Schizosaccharomyces pombe: one gene and its partner. The gene in region 1 interacts genetically with each later gene. Each region holds a gene or a part of one and is shown on either strand. Other genes may lie near its edges.

What was found. A genetic interaction does not mean that the proteins touch.
Region 2: of omh1 (region 1) and prz1, changing one suppresses a phenotype caused by changing the other (phenotypic suppression), as found in Schizosaccharomyces pombe (one study listed by BioGRID).

What each region holds. Positions count from the first base shown.
Region 1 is NC_003423.3:2,841,099-2,851,251, reverse strand, and holds omh1 (Golgi alpha-1,2-mannosyltransferase Omh1), read left to right. Parts: upstream 1-3,722; 5' UTR 3,723-4,156; coding exon 4,157-5,329; 3' UTR 5,330-5,672; coding exon of another isoform or gene 5,673-7,151; 3' UTR 7,152-7,190; coding exon of another isoform or gene 7,191-7,624; 3' UTR 7,625-7,666; coding exon of another isoform or gene 7,667-7,918; 3' UTR 7,919-7,975; coding exon of another isoform or gene 7,976-8,111; 3' UTR 8,112-8,351; downstream 8,352-10,153. Other genes in the region: SPOM_SPBP19A11.02C (uncharacterized protein), read left to right, coding at 938-1,672; gcv3 (glycine decarboxylase complex subunit H), read right to left, coding at 2,220-2,729; SPOM_SPBC19C7.11 (ClC chloride channel), read right to left, coding at 5,673-7,151, 7,191-7,624, 7,667-7,918, 7,976-8,111; integral nuclear inner membrane protein Bqt4, read right to left, coding at 8,841-8,865, 8,938-9,984, 10,031-10,084, 10,147-10,153. UniProt on the Schizosaccharomyces pombe protein: Mannosyltransferase involved in O-glycosylation of cell wall and secreted proteins. Plays a major role in extending alpha-1,2-linked mannose in the O-glycan pathway.
Region 2 is NC_003424.3:786,278-791,871, reverse strand, and holds prz1 (calcineurin-responsive transcription factor Prz1), read left to right. Parts: upstream 1-1,959; 5' UTR 1,960-2,707; coding exon 2,708-4,753; 3' UTR 4,754-5,094; downstream 5,095-5,594. Other genes in the region: SPOM_SPAC16C9.01C (carbohydrate kinase), read left to right, coding at 21-988; smp3 (alpha-1,2-mannosyltransferase), read left to right, coding at 5,309-5,432, 5,473-5,594. UniProt on the Schizosaccharomyces pombe protein: Involved in the regulation of calcium ion homeostasis. Binds to the calcineurin-dependent response element. Transcriptionally regulates pmc1.

The sequences.
Region 1 (10,153 bases):
GGATTGTTGAAATTCAGCGCCCGATACATTTATTTTTCTATTTCGATTATGTTAAATTCGTATTTTTTAGATTAGAAATGTTCTAGTATTGTTCTAAATTGAAGTAGCGGAAAGTATATATACATGATTGCAAATTTGTAATTAGGATTATAATTTCTGTTTCTTTTTTTTTGTATTTGTCGCGTTACCAAAAGGTAATAGAACGTCCACTGCAGAAACGTCTTGTTGGATAAAAATTGCCCGAACTAAGGAGCTACCATTTCTTAGTAAAAAAAATTTAGACCTGCGTTGGAGCTTAATGCAATTATCAAAGAATGAATTTTAATCATCTTCTGATAATCCGACAAAGGAGTTGACTGCTTTGCGACGCATCCCTTATGTCACGTTTCTACTACTGTTTCAATACCTAACCATTACATTAAAGGTAAAACTGCACATTAGATACTTCGCATTTAGGGAATAACGGTGAATAGCTTTATTTAATTTCAAATATTATCTTGAATTGTTATTATGTTTCATCATATGCAGTCCCAAAGTCTGCTCATCGTTAATTCATTTCCACAGGTAAGTTGTGCATTCATTTCGTTATGTGAAAAAATGGAATGACGCTCGTATTTGAATTGATAGAAATGTCATATATGACTATTAGGGGACTATTATGTGTTGATTGAACAATTTATTTTCAATGGGATCACTCACCCGTCATTTTGTCTACCGAATTGCATTTTGTAAGAATTTGTCAGTAAAAATTTGACCTATATATCGAGGTATTCGTTCTCTCGATTTGTGCTACTGAAATTGAGACATTAATCCGATTTCGCTTGCTTGCAAATAAAAGCCAGGAAAATATAATTGGTCTTTTGGAACTTGTATTTGAGGCACTCTTTAGCATTTTTTATCCTTCTATTTTTTAATTCATTAATCATTTAATAAGAAGATGCAGTTCTCTGTCCTTTGCAAATTTCTGTTGCTTGTCACAGCCGTAATGGCACAAACGGAGTATACTCCTGGTTTTACGACAGACGTTGCTACAACTGTAACGCCTACTCCTTTACCAAGTGCTAATGTTACGACTACTTCCTTTAGCAGTGCAAGTACTGAGACTTCCACCCACAGCGTAACAAGCACGAACATTACTTCGATTGTACCTCCCCCTTCGACTAGCCATAACTCTACCACTACCACTGTGCCACCTACAACTAGCATGAACACTACGACCACTGTACCTCCTACAACTAGCTTGAATACTACTACTACTACTGCACCACCAACAACTCATGTTAACAGCACTACTACTGTTGTACCACCAACAACTCATGTCAACACTACTACTGTTGTACCACCAACAACTCATGTCAACACTACTACTGTTGTACCGCCAACAACTCATGCCAACACTACTAGCTTCGTACCTACTACTACGGAGAGTTCTATACATCCTATCACTACTGGATTCTATAACACTACATTCACTACCGGCTACTTCAACACTTCAGTCACTTCGGTCGCAGTTCATAATAGTACTACTGTCTTCCCGACATCTGTTCCTATTGTAAACACTACTAGTTTCAACGTAACTACCATTCCTTCTTCTGCTGTGCATTATGCTTCTCCCAGCGGACTTCTCGCTTTGGTTGTTATGCTAATTTCTGCCTTCGCCTTTTTGGCTTAATTTATCCCATTTAATATAGGCTTACTATTTATAATATTTACAACCTAGCAGAAGTATGCAATTAATTTCTTTCGCTTAATTACTTTATCAGATTATAGTTTAATGTTGAAATTGTAATTTAATTCTATTAAGTTATTAGTACAATTATGGAAGGCTAAGTCTCTAAAGTAGCAAACAGTATGTCTGGGAAAAAATGTATTTTTAGGCCGTAGTCAATACAGATAGAATGAATGCACCATGCATTATAAATTGACCCGACAAAAAAAGAAGAAAGCGATGTTATGACTCTTCAGTTGAAGGAAGAGGGTATTTAGAGTGCAACAAATAAAATTGTCTTAAAAGCCCATGATGAAATGGTCTCAAAGACTATTGAAAAGCTGTAACTGAGTTATTGCTTTATTCTTTCATATATGAAAAAACAAAACAACCAAAACCAGTAAAGTTTGATGAATATGTAAATCAATCACAAAAAATTGAAGTTGTAATTAATACATAAACCAGCTAGAACAAACTTCGTAGGTCATACGGAATTTTAACATAACCATATTTAATGGGACGCGTCTTCTTCCTTGCAAAATTGAGCGTAACTTTCATCATTTAATAGTGATTTCAATTCGTCAGGTGATGATAACTTGATTTTGCAAATCCAACCTTCTTCCTCGGGAGACGAGCTCACCTTATCTGGTGAATCACCAAGAGATTCATTGATAGAAGTAACTGTACCAGACACTGGAGAATATACATCACTAGCCGACTTGACTGACTCAACAGCACCGATGCCATCACCTACACTCACGGTAGTCTCAGGTTCTGGCAATTCAACGAATACAACTTCACCAAGAGCATTCGCAGCATAAGAGGTAATTCCTACAGTTCCAACATCTCCATCGACTTTAACCCATTCATGTTCCTTAGTAAAGTGTTTAGTTGAGTAATATTTTACCGCGCTCCATTTCATGGATAAAGTAGGAGCTGCTGCCTTCAAACAGAAACCGGTCTTTACAGATGAGGTAAGAGAGGGAAGGAAACCAGAGCGAAGGGCAGAACGAGCTAACATGTTAGGACTTGCAAATTTTATTCGTAGCTAAAAAGGATGGTAAGTCGTTAACTTCGTAGAGCAGACAAATAATGCAATAACGAAACCGCGCGATGTATCAGTGCTTTATAGCGTCCTGCGTTGTACTCTGGCATATTTAAAATGTATACAAGTACAAATTCACTAACTTGTTTTAAGATACGTTATTTCCTATCTATCGTACTAGTAAGCTAACTCAGTTGCCAATTCTAATTAACTATAACAGTATATACGTCTCTCTATAGATGTATAAGAAAATATACCGTTATTGCTATAAGGAATTACGCTTGTATGTTGATTTTATTAATGAATCAGTTCTGTTCCTCTTAAGTAAAAGCAATATTTGCATAGGTTAATAAGTCTACTTGCTTGTTCACTTAACCTTACAATAATTATGTTTCTTCTTTCAATTTTGAAAAACGTAATTGCTTGACTTAGCTTTAGACAACTTGAACGTGCATTCAATAAATTTGCCTACCCTATAATATCTGGGAGATATATATTAACAAATATGTAAGGCAAGTAGTTGCTACATTACCGTTTTTCTTTTTGAACTAGCTGATAAAATCTTTAAAGTCCTAGAGGAAAGGTAATCCTAGTTAACCATAACTGTCAAATGTACAATGCTAAAAACAAAGTATTATTACAGACATCTGACGTTACGATCTGCAATACTGGTGTAAGCGAAACTTCTCCATCTAGTTGAAATGTACAATGATAGTACTGAAAATTTTTGATTTATAGCCTTTAACCTATGAACAGTCAGAGGAATTTAGAAAAAAAAAATTTTTTTCAGAAATGTTAACTTTTTATTCAACTTGATTTCTAGCCTAGTTTTTTGCTAAAATAATGTTATTTAAGTATGTATAATAAATAATTGCTAGACTGTAAAACTCAAAGAATCGATCGGTCTAATTTTACTTTGGACAACTCAATAACGTAAATACTGTAACTGTGCCTGCACCATTCTCACTCAGCCACCACCATTAATTGATAAAAGCTTGCTCACTATTAGAATTTCCTTATAACCAACATAGAGAAATTCTTTTTAATTTTCTACTTATACTTTTTGAGTAACATAGCAATCACTTCATTTACTGACTGGTGCTTGGACTTATATATTAGCTTTGTAGAGTTACTACTATCAAAGTAGTTACATTTAATAATTTGCATAGGATTCAATTGTTTCCTTCTCCAGTGTACTTTTAGTTCACATTCGGTTATTTATCTATTGGTTTATTGGAAGCCATATTCGAAGTACTATAGTGAAAATCAAAACTTGCAATTTCACTGGTTTTCCTTCGGCTGTTTATTTCATTTTTTTGTACTAGAAGAATAACGGTCTCTTTAAAGACTTTTTACCCGACTTACAGAATCTATAAATATAGCATTTCTATTTTTAATGCAAAATGGTTCGCTTGCCAAGAAAGTTCAAACGTGTTTTACTTTTAGTGGTATTACTTACATTGGTTGTATTTGTACGTTTCAAAAAGCAATACATCCCAACTATCAGTGTATTTGAGGGCAGTCTGATTGACAATCGAGATACTCTTTCGTATTTCAATATTTCTAATCTAGAGCCCTCAGAACGCTCCGAATGGCTTCCAAATAAACGGGTTAATGCTGCCTTTGTTACGTTGGCAAGAAATGAAGATTTGAATGATTTACTTAAATCAATCCGAAAACTTGAGAAGACTTTCAATCATAAATATCATTATGGATGGGTTTTCCTTAACAATGAGGAGTTCTCTGACGAATTTAAGGAGCATGTTATTGAAGCGGTCTCTGGCAAATGTGAATTTGGTTTGGTACCTCAGGAACAATGGAGCATTCCGGAATATATTGACCAAGACAAAATGCATGAAAATTGGAAAAAACTTCAAGAATTAGGAATTCTTTATGCTGACAAAGAATCTTATCGTCACATGTGTCGCTTTGAGTCTGGTTTCTTTTATCGTCATCCTCTTGTTCAGAAGTACGAATATTATTGGAGAGTTGAACCTAGTGTGGATTTCTTTTGCGACCTCGATTTCGATCCATTTGCTTATATGAAGGAAAATAACAAGGCGTATGCATTCACTATCACTGTAACTGAATATTCAGAAACAATTCCTTCTCTTTGGCCCTCTACCAAAGAATTCATCAAAATGCACCCTAATGCTCTTCATCCTAATAATGCTCTAAACTTCATATCTAATGATGATGGGGAAACTTATAACGGATGTCATTTTTGGACTAATTTTGAAATTGCGAAAGTTGATTTTTGGGAAAGTGAAGTTTATAGTAAATATTTTGACTACCTTGATAAAAGTGGTAATTTCTTCTATGAGCGTTGGGGTGATGCTCCAGTTCATAGCATTGCTGTTTCGTTGTTCGCTGATCGTGACAATATCCATTTTTTCAATGAGATTGGCTATTGGCATCCTGGTAGCGGTCATTGTCCTTTGGATGATGCTACACGCGCTAAATGCGACTGTGATCCTTATGAATCCATTGATTATAATGGATGGAGCTGTCTAGATAAATTCTATACCGCATTTGAAATGCCTTTCCCCGAAAACTGGTCTTTTTATAGCCATTAATTCTTTCACATGGCTTAAAATGTCAGATTTGCTTTAAAAAGCTCAGTTTGTTTTTAAGTCGCAATTTATGCTTTCCATTTATTTTTATTTACTTCGTCATTTCTCTTCTCATTTTTTTTGAAAAGCTTTCAACGGTTAATTGGTTTGCTATTACTTTATGAGCCTACTTTTTTCATTTTGTACCGTATATTTCTTTACACCTTCTGATAGACTATGTCTTCCGAAATTAACTTCGTTATCGATTTTAGTCACTTTCGTTTATACAGTTCTTGCTTTCGTACTATTGAAGCATCAACTTTTTAGCCATACTTAATTCTCCCTTCAATGAAACTATTACATTTTATCATTCTATGTTTAATTTTAAGGGCTTTAGTTCTATGTTTTCATAGCTGTCGTTGATCCTTTCTGTAGAAACTGCACGATGACGATTAGCAGGATTCACTAAATCATTATCTTCTTGGTAATATTTGGATGCAAGTAATAAATCCTTTTTTGAGATTAAGCCAACTAAATTTCCGTCTTTTTCGATAAAAATCACACTTGGACTTAAGACTTCGAATAAAACAGCGACATTTGCAATGCTCTGCGTATGTAATACAGAAATAGGGTTCACATCCATATACGCTGAAAGATCTATTCTATCTGATTCACCGAATTTAGAGGACTTACTATCGCCAACTGAATCAACCTTTCCGAAACACAACTGCTGATCAAAAGTAAATGAAGGCTCTAGTTTTGCAGCCTCAAAAGAACTCTTCAGTGATGATTTCTTAAGATAGCCTATTAAATAATTAGATCGTGAATCTAAAACAACAGGATATCCGCTAAAGTCGTAACCTTCCATCATTCCTAACAGCTTTCTCCATGTAAATCCGATACTAGGAATGGTTATTAAATTGCTAGCCATCACTTCAGTAATGGGTATATTTATGGTATTGGAGCTATTAATGGATTTTTCTGGTTCAAGTAAGGGTAATCCATTAATCTCAATGCTACGATCAGCTATACCTGTTTTTCCCAGCATATTGCCAATGGAATTTGCAAGTGCCACGACAAGTACGGTAGGTAATATGAAGTTTAAGGCACCTGTTAATTCAAACATAATAACAACGATCGTGACCGTCAAATGCATTATACCGCTGAGAGAAGCTGCTGCTCCAAGGAGCGCATAGGTACCTGGAGTGATACAGCTTTCAGAACCATGACAAGCTAAGAATAAAACTGAGTTTGGAAACCTTTGATAAATCATCTCTGCTATCAAACCAATCATATAGCCAAACGAGGCACCTACCGCCATAGAAGGAACAAAGATGCCAGCAGGAACCTTGGCTCCGTACGAGAAGGTAACAAATATTGTTCTTGCAAATGTAGCAATCAAAAGCAAAATAGTATTTTTAGTCCTTAGAGAAGGGTCACAAAGATTAATTAACTCAGGTGAGCTACTTGACTTACATTCTTGGAAAAGCAATTCCATCCCAAGGGTCATGTCCAAACGTAACCAAGGATTTAAGAAACTTACCAAGGATGTTATTACGGTGACAAAAGCAGCATCGAGAACACCCCATCGAGACAAGTATTTTTTGCGTAGTTTTTGAATTAAGAAAAATAAGCGCATTACAAATTCACCGTATAAACCTCCAAAAATTCCTAGAAAACAAAAAAAAAGAAGCTCAAAAAAATGCCAGGATCCAGAGTAGCGAACCTCAAATAAAACAACTTGCCCTGTACGAAATGGATTTAGCATATGCAAAACACCAACGGCCGATAAACAACAGAAAAATGAATATACTATCATTTTTGGGTCATAACCACCAGACATTTCCTTAAAAGAATTAGTCAAAATCTCTATAAACTTTCCTACCTCAATACCGAAAAGCACACCTCCAATAGGGGATCCAAATGCAACAGCGACTCCGGAAGCAGCAGAAGCAACACAAATATCCCTATATCTAATAGATCCTTCCCTGGCATATTTGAATATCTTAGATATATTATGCCCGATGGTAGTAGCTAAATGTACACTGGGTCCCTCCTTCCCAACGGAAAGACCACTAGCGATGGCTAATGGCAAACCAACGCATTTTACCAACATAACACGAAAAGATAAGAAACTATCTCTTAAAAAACCGCTTATGATACATTTAATCTCTGAGATTCCACTACCAGCTGCTAAAGGAGCAACATCTCTTACCATAATCGCAGCACATAACACAAAAAGTAAAGCGAAGGCCGTGTATATAAGGTAATTTAGGGAAAACTTGTAAGTCCAGGGTTTCCATGCAGTACACGAGGAACCTTGAAACGTTAGATCATTGTACAAGTCATGTTTGAACATACCCATAGTTTCGCTATACCAACAGCAGAATTTCTCATTGTAATACCAATGACTAGTACAATATCCCCTTCGTATGTCCGATAGCCAAGAGGTAACTATGTCAAGCATATAAGCCGCAAACCCAACTGTTGTTCCTATGATACTGAGAATAAACCATGAATAACCAACATTCCATATTCTCCACAACTTGGACCAACGGCTTTGATCAATTACGTTTTCTTCATTTTGCTCGTTAATTATTTCATTAACTCTGTCTTTAAAAGTTGTCAGTAAATAGTAGTCAAATGCTTTCGAAGCTTGAAAAACCATACCGTCCGTTTCAAAATTATCAATACCGGAACCTTCTCTATTAAAAAAATATTTTTTTTTCCTTTCATTTTCATCCAAAGATCGACGTTCCGCCTGATCAAAAGAACTTGAGGAATCTGCTCTCTTTTGAGAGGACATTGATGATATAATCTAATGTGGAGAATATCAGAATTGAAGAAAATGCTCTTGTTTTTCTCCTTTGTATATCAAAAATTGATCACTAGCATTTATTATTGTATGGTAGGCAAATCGCAAGCATTAATTGCACTTTTCCAAAACTTTGTCCTCAACCTTGAATATAGTATGTTAAGGGTGTAAACCGAGCGAATTTTATTACTTATGAAGTAAGAAATATTGAAGTTGGAATATAAACAATGCACATTTGTAATATCTTCATAGTAAAAGAAGATTCTATTTTCGACTCTCTTTAGTTTTCTATAGTAGTTAGTTATTCGTTAGTCGTACAAATGTTACTTTTTGCTATTTTGCTAGATAAGTTTAAAATAGGAAAATTTAATGAAACAAAACTAAAGCAAAGTACAGTAATCAATATAACTTGGAAAAATCACATTCCGCAATAAATTGGAAACAATACACTTCCCAGGACTAAAACAACTTCATATAAGTGATAAAACATTAAGATAACCAAATAGTGCACTAGAATCAATCGGAAATTAAGTTATTTCAGCCCTAAATCAATCTGAAGCAGGTCTCCAATCCCAAATCATAATCGAAAGTAAGTAAAAAGTCATCAAGTCAATTGATTTTCACATTAAACACGAAAAACTACATCAACAAATTAAAGCACATATGTCACATTAAATTCTAACATCCAGTAGTTTCAAAATGGTAAAGGGCCCTATTAAATTAAAATAGAAAAGGTAAAATTGCGCTGCGAAAGATAGTTAGTAAATGATTTTAAATCCAGGGAAAAGACCAATTATCACAATCATTGAATACTTACCCTACACCCAAACCAATAGCAATACCACCAAGTGCTCTGACTTTCCGCTTTTCATAGTAAACTTCGCTTTCCAGTTTGGTGATACGCGACCTTTTCACAGGTACCATAGCATTGTAATCCTCGTTTTCCTCAAAATCCTCTCTACTTCTCTTCTTTGACTTTGGAGAGGATCGAATGGAAGATTTCAAAGTATCCCCAATGCTCTTTTCCAAATTCTCGAACTTCTTTTCCAACTTTCCGACAGGTTTTCTTACTTGGCTTGCAACACCAGTTACACCTTTGTTAACTTGATTAGCGACACCATTCATGCCTTTGTTGACCTGGCTTGCAACACCATTCACGCCCTTGTTAACTTGACTGGCAACATCGGTCATGCCTCTGTTAACTTGACTGGCAACGTCAGTCATGCCCTTATTGACACTTGACCTAATCTTTCCAAGAAGAGAAGGCTTGATAGGTGTCTTAATCTTTCTATCTTGGATATCAGATGTTTTTTCCTCCTCCTCAGAGGGTTGATCTTTAGAGGTTGATCCTTTTGCTTTATCATCCGAAGAAGAGGGTTGACCTACTTTTTCAGTAGAACTACCGCCTTCCTGCTTCTTGATTTCTGGCTCTTTCTTCTCAGACTTAATTTCATCCTTCGTTTCATTCTCTTCGGAATGTATTTCCTTGTCTTCTTCTTTATTATCATGTTGGAGGATTGTCTTTTTGGAATTCTCCAGATGTTCAGCAAGACGCTGACGTGTGCGCCTAGCAACAGAAGTGGTAGTGGCAGATGTCGAAGATTCAGGTTCCCCCTCAGATGTCTCTGATTTCTGCGCAGTGGGGCGTGAAGGAGTCGCATAAGTTGAAGGAGTGGAGGATGCCTCTAACAAGGCGTTAATAAACGGGGTCATGCTGTAGTCTTTGGCAAGAGCCAAGGCATCTGCAGGAGGCACCCATAGTCCAGCAACACGTTTGTCTTCAATTGGGTTTAAATTATCACGAATCCATCTCATTTCCAAGTCTTCTTCTTCTTGGGTAGCCTTAGGGAAAGCTGAACGAAACCTAATCGGGTTTAGATTTTTAGAAAAAGATATGAAAAAACGCTTACATTGACGTAGCACTAATGCTTGAATCCTTTGCCATCCTCATAAGAAAGTGAGGTCTATATTTATATACATCATTAGTATTTTTCCAAAAACAACACTGCAAAAAAAAGATAATTACACTTTAG
Region 2 (5,594 bases), on another chromosome or scaffold:
AATTAACACATTATTTTCAGCATTGATTGGTGCTAGACTCTGGACGTCTGAACCCGAAAGTCAACAACTGGGAATGATTGTTGACAAAGGCTCTGATTTCCCGCAGGTGATCCTCGATGAATTAAACGATTTACATACTGGAATTGTATACAGAGAAACGCCTTGGAGAAAAACTACATATGGTTACAACCGTCTCAGGGACAATGGTTTTCGATTGTTTGAATACCTTACACCTAAAAAGCCAATTCGTGCTCCTGATCTTTTGGAAACAGGATTGATATATGCAAAAACAATTCATATTATTACAAATCCTAAAACATTTGTCTCTGTGTGTGAGGAACTGGCAAAGTATGGAAATCTAAAAAATCGTCCTAAAATCGTATGGGAGCCAACGCCTGAATCCTGTTTACCGGAAAACTGGCATATTTTACAAAAAGCCTTAAAGTATTGTGATATATTTTCTCCAAACGAGGTGGACTCTGCCAACCTTCTGGGTATAGATATTAGCGAAAGCAAATCTCGAGCCAAAGAGTTTGTATCTGCGTTTCAAGAATTCCAAATTGGGCACGATTCTCAAGGATGGGTTGTTCTTCGAAATGGGTCCGATGGTTGTTTAATTGGTGCATGCACGAGTAGTACCAACGCTACAAGCGATGCAGTTGTCCCTGTGCGAGAAATTCTTCATTTGCCAAGTGTACAAATGAAAAACGGAAGCGTTTTAGATACCACTGGGGCTGGTAATGCTTTTTGTGGAGCTGCAATCTTGGAGTATTATAGGACGGGTAATATTATAGAAGCTTGTGCTAAAGCTACTGTAGCCGCTTCGTTTGTCATTCAACAACACGGTTTGCCGGCACACACGAAAAATAGTGAAGGGATTGACTTATGGAACGGAGAATCAGTCTTTCAGAGGTTGAAAGAATACTATGAATTTTTAGCTTCTCATGAAGCTTCCGCCATCAAAGAACTTACGAAACGAGGTGTATAGGTTGCTCTTACAACACAATATAGTCATCTTTTGCTACGAAGTACAAATACTTAATAAGATTATTATACCATTTATTACAATACGCAATTTCGTTGCATTACAATTGGGATTTTCTGCATCTAGGTAATCTAATACAAGAAATGCTCTTGATATTTGCAAATATGATATATATTAGTTGACAGAACATCGGTTGAAGTATCCGATATGAACCGCTTCGTTCACAACATTCAACTAAGCCTCTGCACCAAAGAGCCTGGAACTCGTCAAAGCCGCCGTCCGTCGTATCGTGAGAGAAGATTCTTCAAAAATAATCAATAGTCAGAATTGCATGGTGGTTTGAAGTCTCTTACATATAATTTATAGTACTTTATGTTTTCAACTTAGAATTATTCCACAATTTATAAGTAGTACTACACCTTATTCTGCTTCCCCACTAATGAGTTTCGGATGGTGTTGAAAAGCTAATTTCATGAATTTCAAGCTTTGGGGTTTAATGCTTCTTGACAAGCCTACGGAAGTTCTCCATGTTGTAAGTGGTATTACATTTGGGCACGCCTTCAACTAATAACCGGCACTTTAAAGTATGTGGCTTTGCTTCCTACCCCTTAAACTAGAATATATATTTGATGTCGCTCAATAAATAAAACAAATTTTCATACATTCATGTTATTTAGCTATTTGTGCTTTGTATAAAATACATGTCTCATCACTTTACTATACACAAGTCGCCACCCTTTAGTAAGTCCAGTAAATTTTCAATAGAAAATTGGATGAATATCCTTCAAAAACCAATTTTTTTTCATTTCTGGAACTCCTTAACTGGGATCCTTTGTATATGGAAATTTATTATATTTTGTTTTTAATTTGTTTAGCAAACTGTTCTTTAGCATCCTGCTGCTTCATACTAACTTCAAGTTTAAACTGCGTGTTACTTAAAATTCGTTACCCGATCACGTCTTGTGCAATCCTTTACCACTACATCGCAGAAATATCTTGATGATTTAGCAATTCATCCGTTGTAAATATATAATCTGCTGGCCATTTATTAAACTATCATTTTTTTTTCTGTGAAAATCAAAGCGTTTAGCTGACGCTGTAGTATATTGAGGCTATTCTGTTTTTTTTCATGTCGAGTTAGCGATTTGCGCTTGTATACTTGTCTACCTAATTTTGCAATTTTTCCTAATCGTTAAAGGGTTTTCTCTTGTGCTGTCCTTTAGGTTACTTCCTCATTTCGATCTGTGAAAATCTCATTTGTCGCACTCTCTCCTCTCATTTGTATTGCTTAATGCCCTTTTTGACGTTGCTTAGCTAACAATTATATTGTACTAACCATCAATCTTCTCAGACTTTTATCCTGCGCATTATTCCAAAATACAAAATTTTGTATCAAGAAATTCTGTCGTTATCTGATCAAATCCTGTGAAGCACTGGATTAACTTTGACGACCTCAAGTCTTAATTTTTTCGTTTATTAAACGATACTTTTGGTAATTAATTATTCATTCCACTAATAAATTTCACACCCTTGGTGTTGCTGGTTTATCCAATTTATTACTACAAACCAGCTTTACTCTACTATTCGGTCAAAAAATTCACGTTATAGGCTTTTTGAAAAATAATTTGTCTAACCATTCAATTAAAGAGAGTTGGTGAGTCTTCAGACAATATTTTTGAGAGCGTACCGTTCCAAAAGTTAATTATTTGATGAATTTCATCGATGGAGCGTCAAAGGTCAGAAGAAGCGAATCGTAGATTCAAAGACTTGAATCCTTCTTCTTTATACGATAACCTTTCAAAGCCGGATCTTGGAGGCTCTAGCGAGTTGCATACGTACATGAATGACACTTCGCTTGCTGATATCCCCCTTTTTGAGGATACTCTTGCGTCTGAAGTTTCTTCTTCTTTAATTTCCAATCCTTCTAAAAATAATATTCAGCACCTCCATCCCAACACCTCCGAGCCTTTTAAAACGTCTTCAAAATCCGATGAATATGATTCTTATCCTCGAACCGGGAATGTACCTACTTTTTCATTTACAGAACTGAACGATACTTCAGTCAGTGGCTTCGGTAGTCAAGCGGTATTTGAAAACTCCGTTAGCCCTTTAAGTAATCCATCAAATAGTCCGCAAGCATTTGACTTGACTCAAGGTTCGAGTTCTACTCATAACGCCAACGACTTTACTGTTAACAATGTTGGCTCAAGACGACAATCCATTTATGAGTTTAATATTGGTATTCCGTCTTCAAATATCGATTCTTCTCAGTTCTTACCAGTTTCACGTGCAATTGCGGCTTCTGAAATTTCTCCATCTTCATCGCCTCAGCTATTAACATCCTTCCTTCCCTCAGGATCTGTTTCAAATCCGAGTTCTCCATATTTACAAGGTTCTGTTGGTGCTCTGTATGAAGCCGATGCTTTTAATTTTGTTGATGTAATGTCACAGGCATCTGGAACTGAAGTTGATTCAGAGAGATTTCCTTCTGTTGATTTTGAAGATCCATCTTTATTGATGGAGAATCAACAAAATATTACCGGAACCGGTTCTTTTGCTGACTACCTTCAACCACCTTCTTCCGGGAGCCTGGGGGCCTTTACGAACGCGTCTCCTGGTGAAAGCAACACTGGTATAGATTTTGATACGGATAATACCAATTTGAATCCTTCCGTTGATTTATTGTCTAACCATTCCACACCTTCTTTCATATTTGAGAACAGTCCTTCCGCTGAATTTTCTCACCAGTCATCCCCATATCTTGTTCCAAACTCCGGAAGGACTTTAAACAGCGAAAATGCTAGAGAATCTACTATTCGTTCTGTAAATTCTCCTTTTTCTGAGGACCATGCAGATGCCTCTTTAACAACACACGTTTTTGACCCTATTTCTCCTACCGCTTTAAGCAATTCCGTTTTGAATTATGATTCAAACAACTTTTCGGGTACCCCACAAATTAATGTAGTACCTTCATCTCCTTCCAAATCCCAATCTGGACCTAGTTTGCCAGCAAATCCTCTTCTTCAAACAGACATTAGTATCACTTATAGCCAGTCTGCATCTCCAGTATCTGGTCAACCTGCTATGAATGAAAATTCTTATGACTTACAAAACGCTAATCTTTGTGCTCCTGAAATGTCACCCACATATACGGCTCGTCATCGATCAAATAGTGCTGGCTCACGATTTGATGCTTATGAGCCCATACCTCAATTATATACTCACTTTTCACATTCTTCTGAATGTCTATCTGTTAACCAAGATACCGAACTGCTGGGAAAAATAGAGAATGATAATTCTAAGTCGAACGATTATTTGTCAGTTAGAAATACTCGTCCTCGAAGTCGATCATTGAATTCGCTAGTAGGAAACAAATCGGAAAATTCGTCTTCGTCTAAAGCAAAGTCAGAGTCTAAGTCTCAAGGAAATTACGTTTGTACATTTGCTGGTTGCAATAAGCGTTTTACTAGGGCTTATAATTTGAAAAGTCATATGAATACACATACAAATTACCGTCCCTTTCAATGTTCGATTTGTAAGAAATCATTTGCTAGACAGCATGATAAACGGAGACATGAGCAGTTACACACTGGCATTAAAGCCTTTGCATGTGTCACTTGCAATCAGAGGTTTGCTCGCATGGATGCACTTAACCGACATTATAAAAGTGAAGTTGGACAAAATTGTCTTCGCACGGCCACAGAACGAGGAATTCAAGTTCCGCCATCCAGAAAGACAGCAGTGGCCTCGACAAGCAAACAAAAATGATGTTTTAATTTCCAAAGCAAGACATTTTGCTTGCACCTGTGATTAATGGGTGTCTAACTATATTTCCTTTTGCAATGTGATGCAAGTATTTGCACAGTTTTGCATTTAGGGTTTTGTATTATTTTTTATCTTTGATGTTACGTTTGGCTTCGTTTATAGTTTATTAACTTTTTGCCCTTTTTAAAGAGAGTTGACATTGTTTATACTTAGTGATTGATTTTACCCCATCGTTGATCCAAAATACGGCTTTTAATATTAGATTTGTTTAAAATTAATTATGTTTTGGGTATTGAGTTAGATTAATTTAAAATGTAATAAGACCTGCAATTCTTCTAGTACAATTATTTTACTGAAACATTAGTTTAACGTATACTTTTTGTATGCTTCGTGTATTCTTAAACATATACCCGTCGACCAAGAGTTGTTTACATTTTCGCTTAGCAAACCTTTTTCATAACAAACATATATAGTTCGGAATATCTCGTTATATCTTCATCGTGTAATCCATTGCACACTGAAGCAATAAATCCCGTGCTTTATCCATTGAGATTAAGGATGTTTAAAAACCGTAAATATGCTATAATTTATACTTTTCTCCTAATTTTACGCTTTTGGTTTTCGCAAGGCAGCTCATACATACATCCGGATGAGCATTTACAATCGTTTCAAATATTCGCAAGTATATTACAATTCTTCAACAATTTATGACTAATATAAAGATAAATTATTTGGCTGGAAAGTGGAACTTCCATGGGAATTTACTACTAAAAAACCAATTCGGTCTGTAGTTCCTTTGAATGTGATGCTTTTACCTATTTTCTTGCTTTGCCGGTGTATTTGC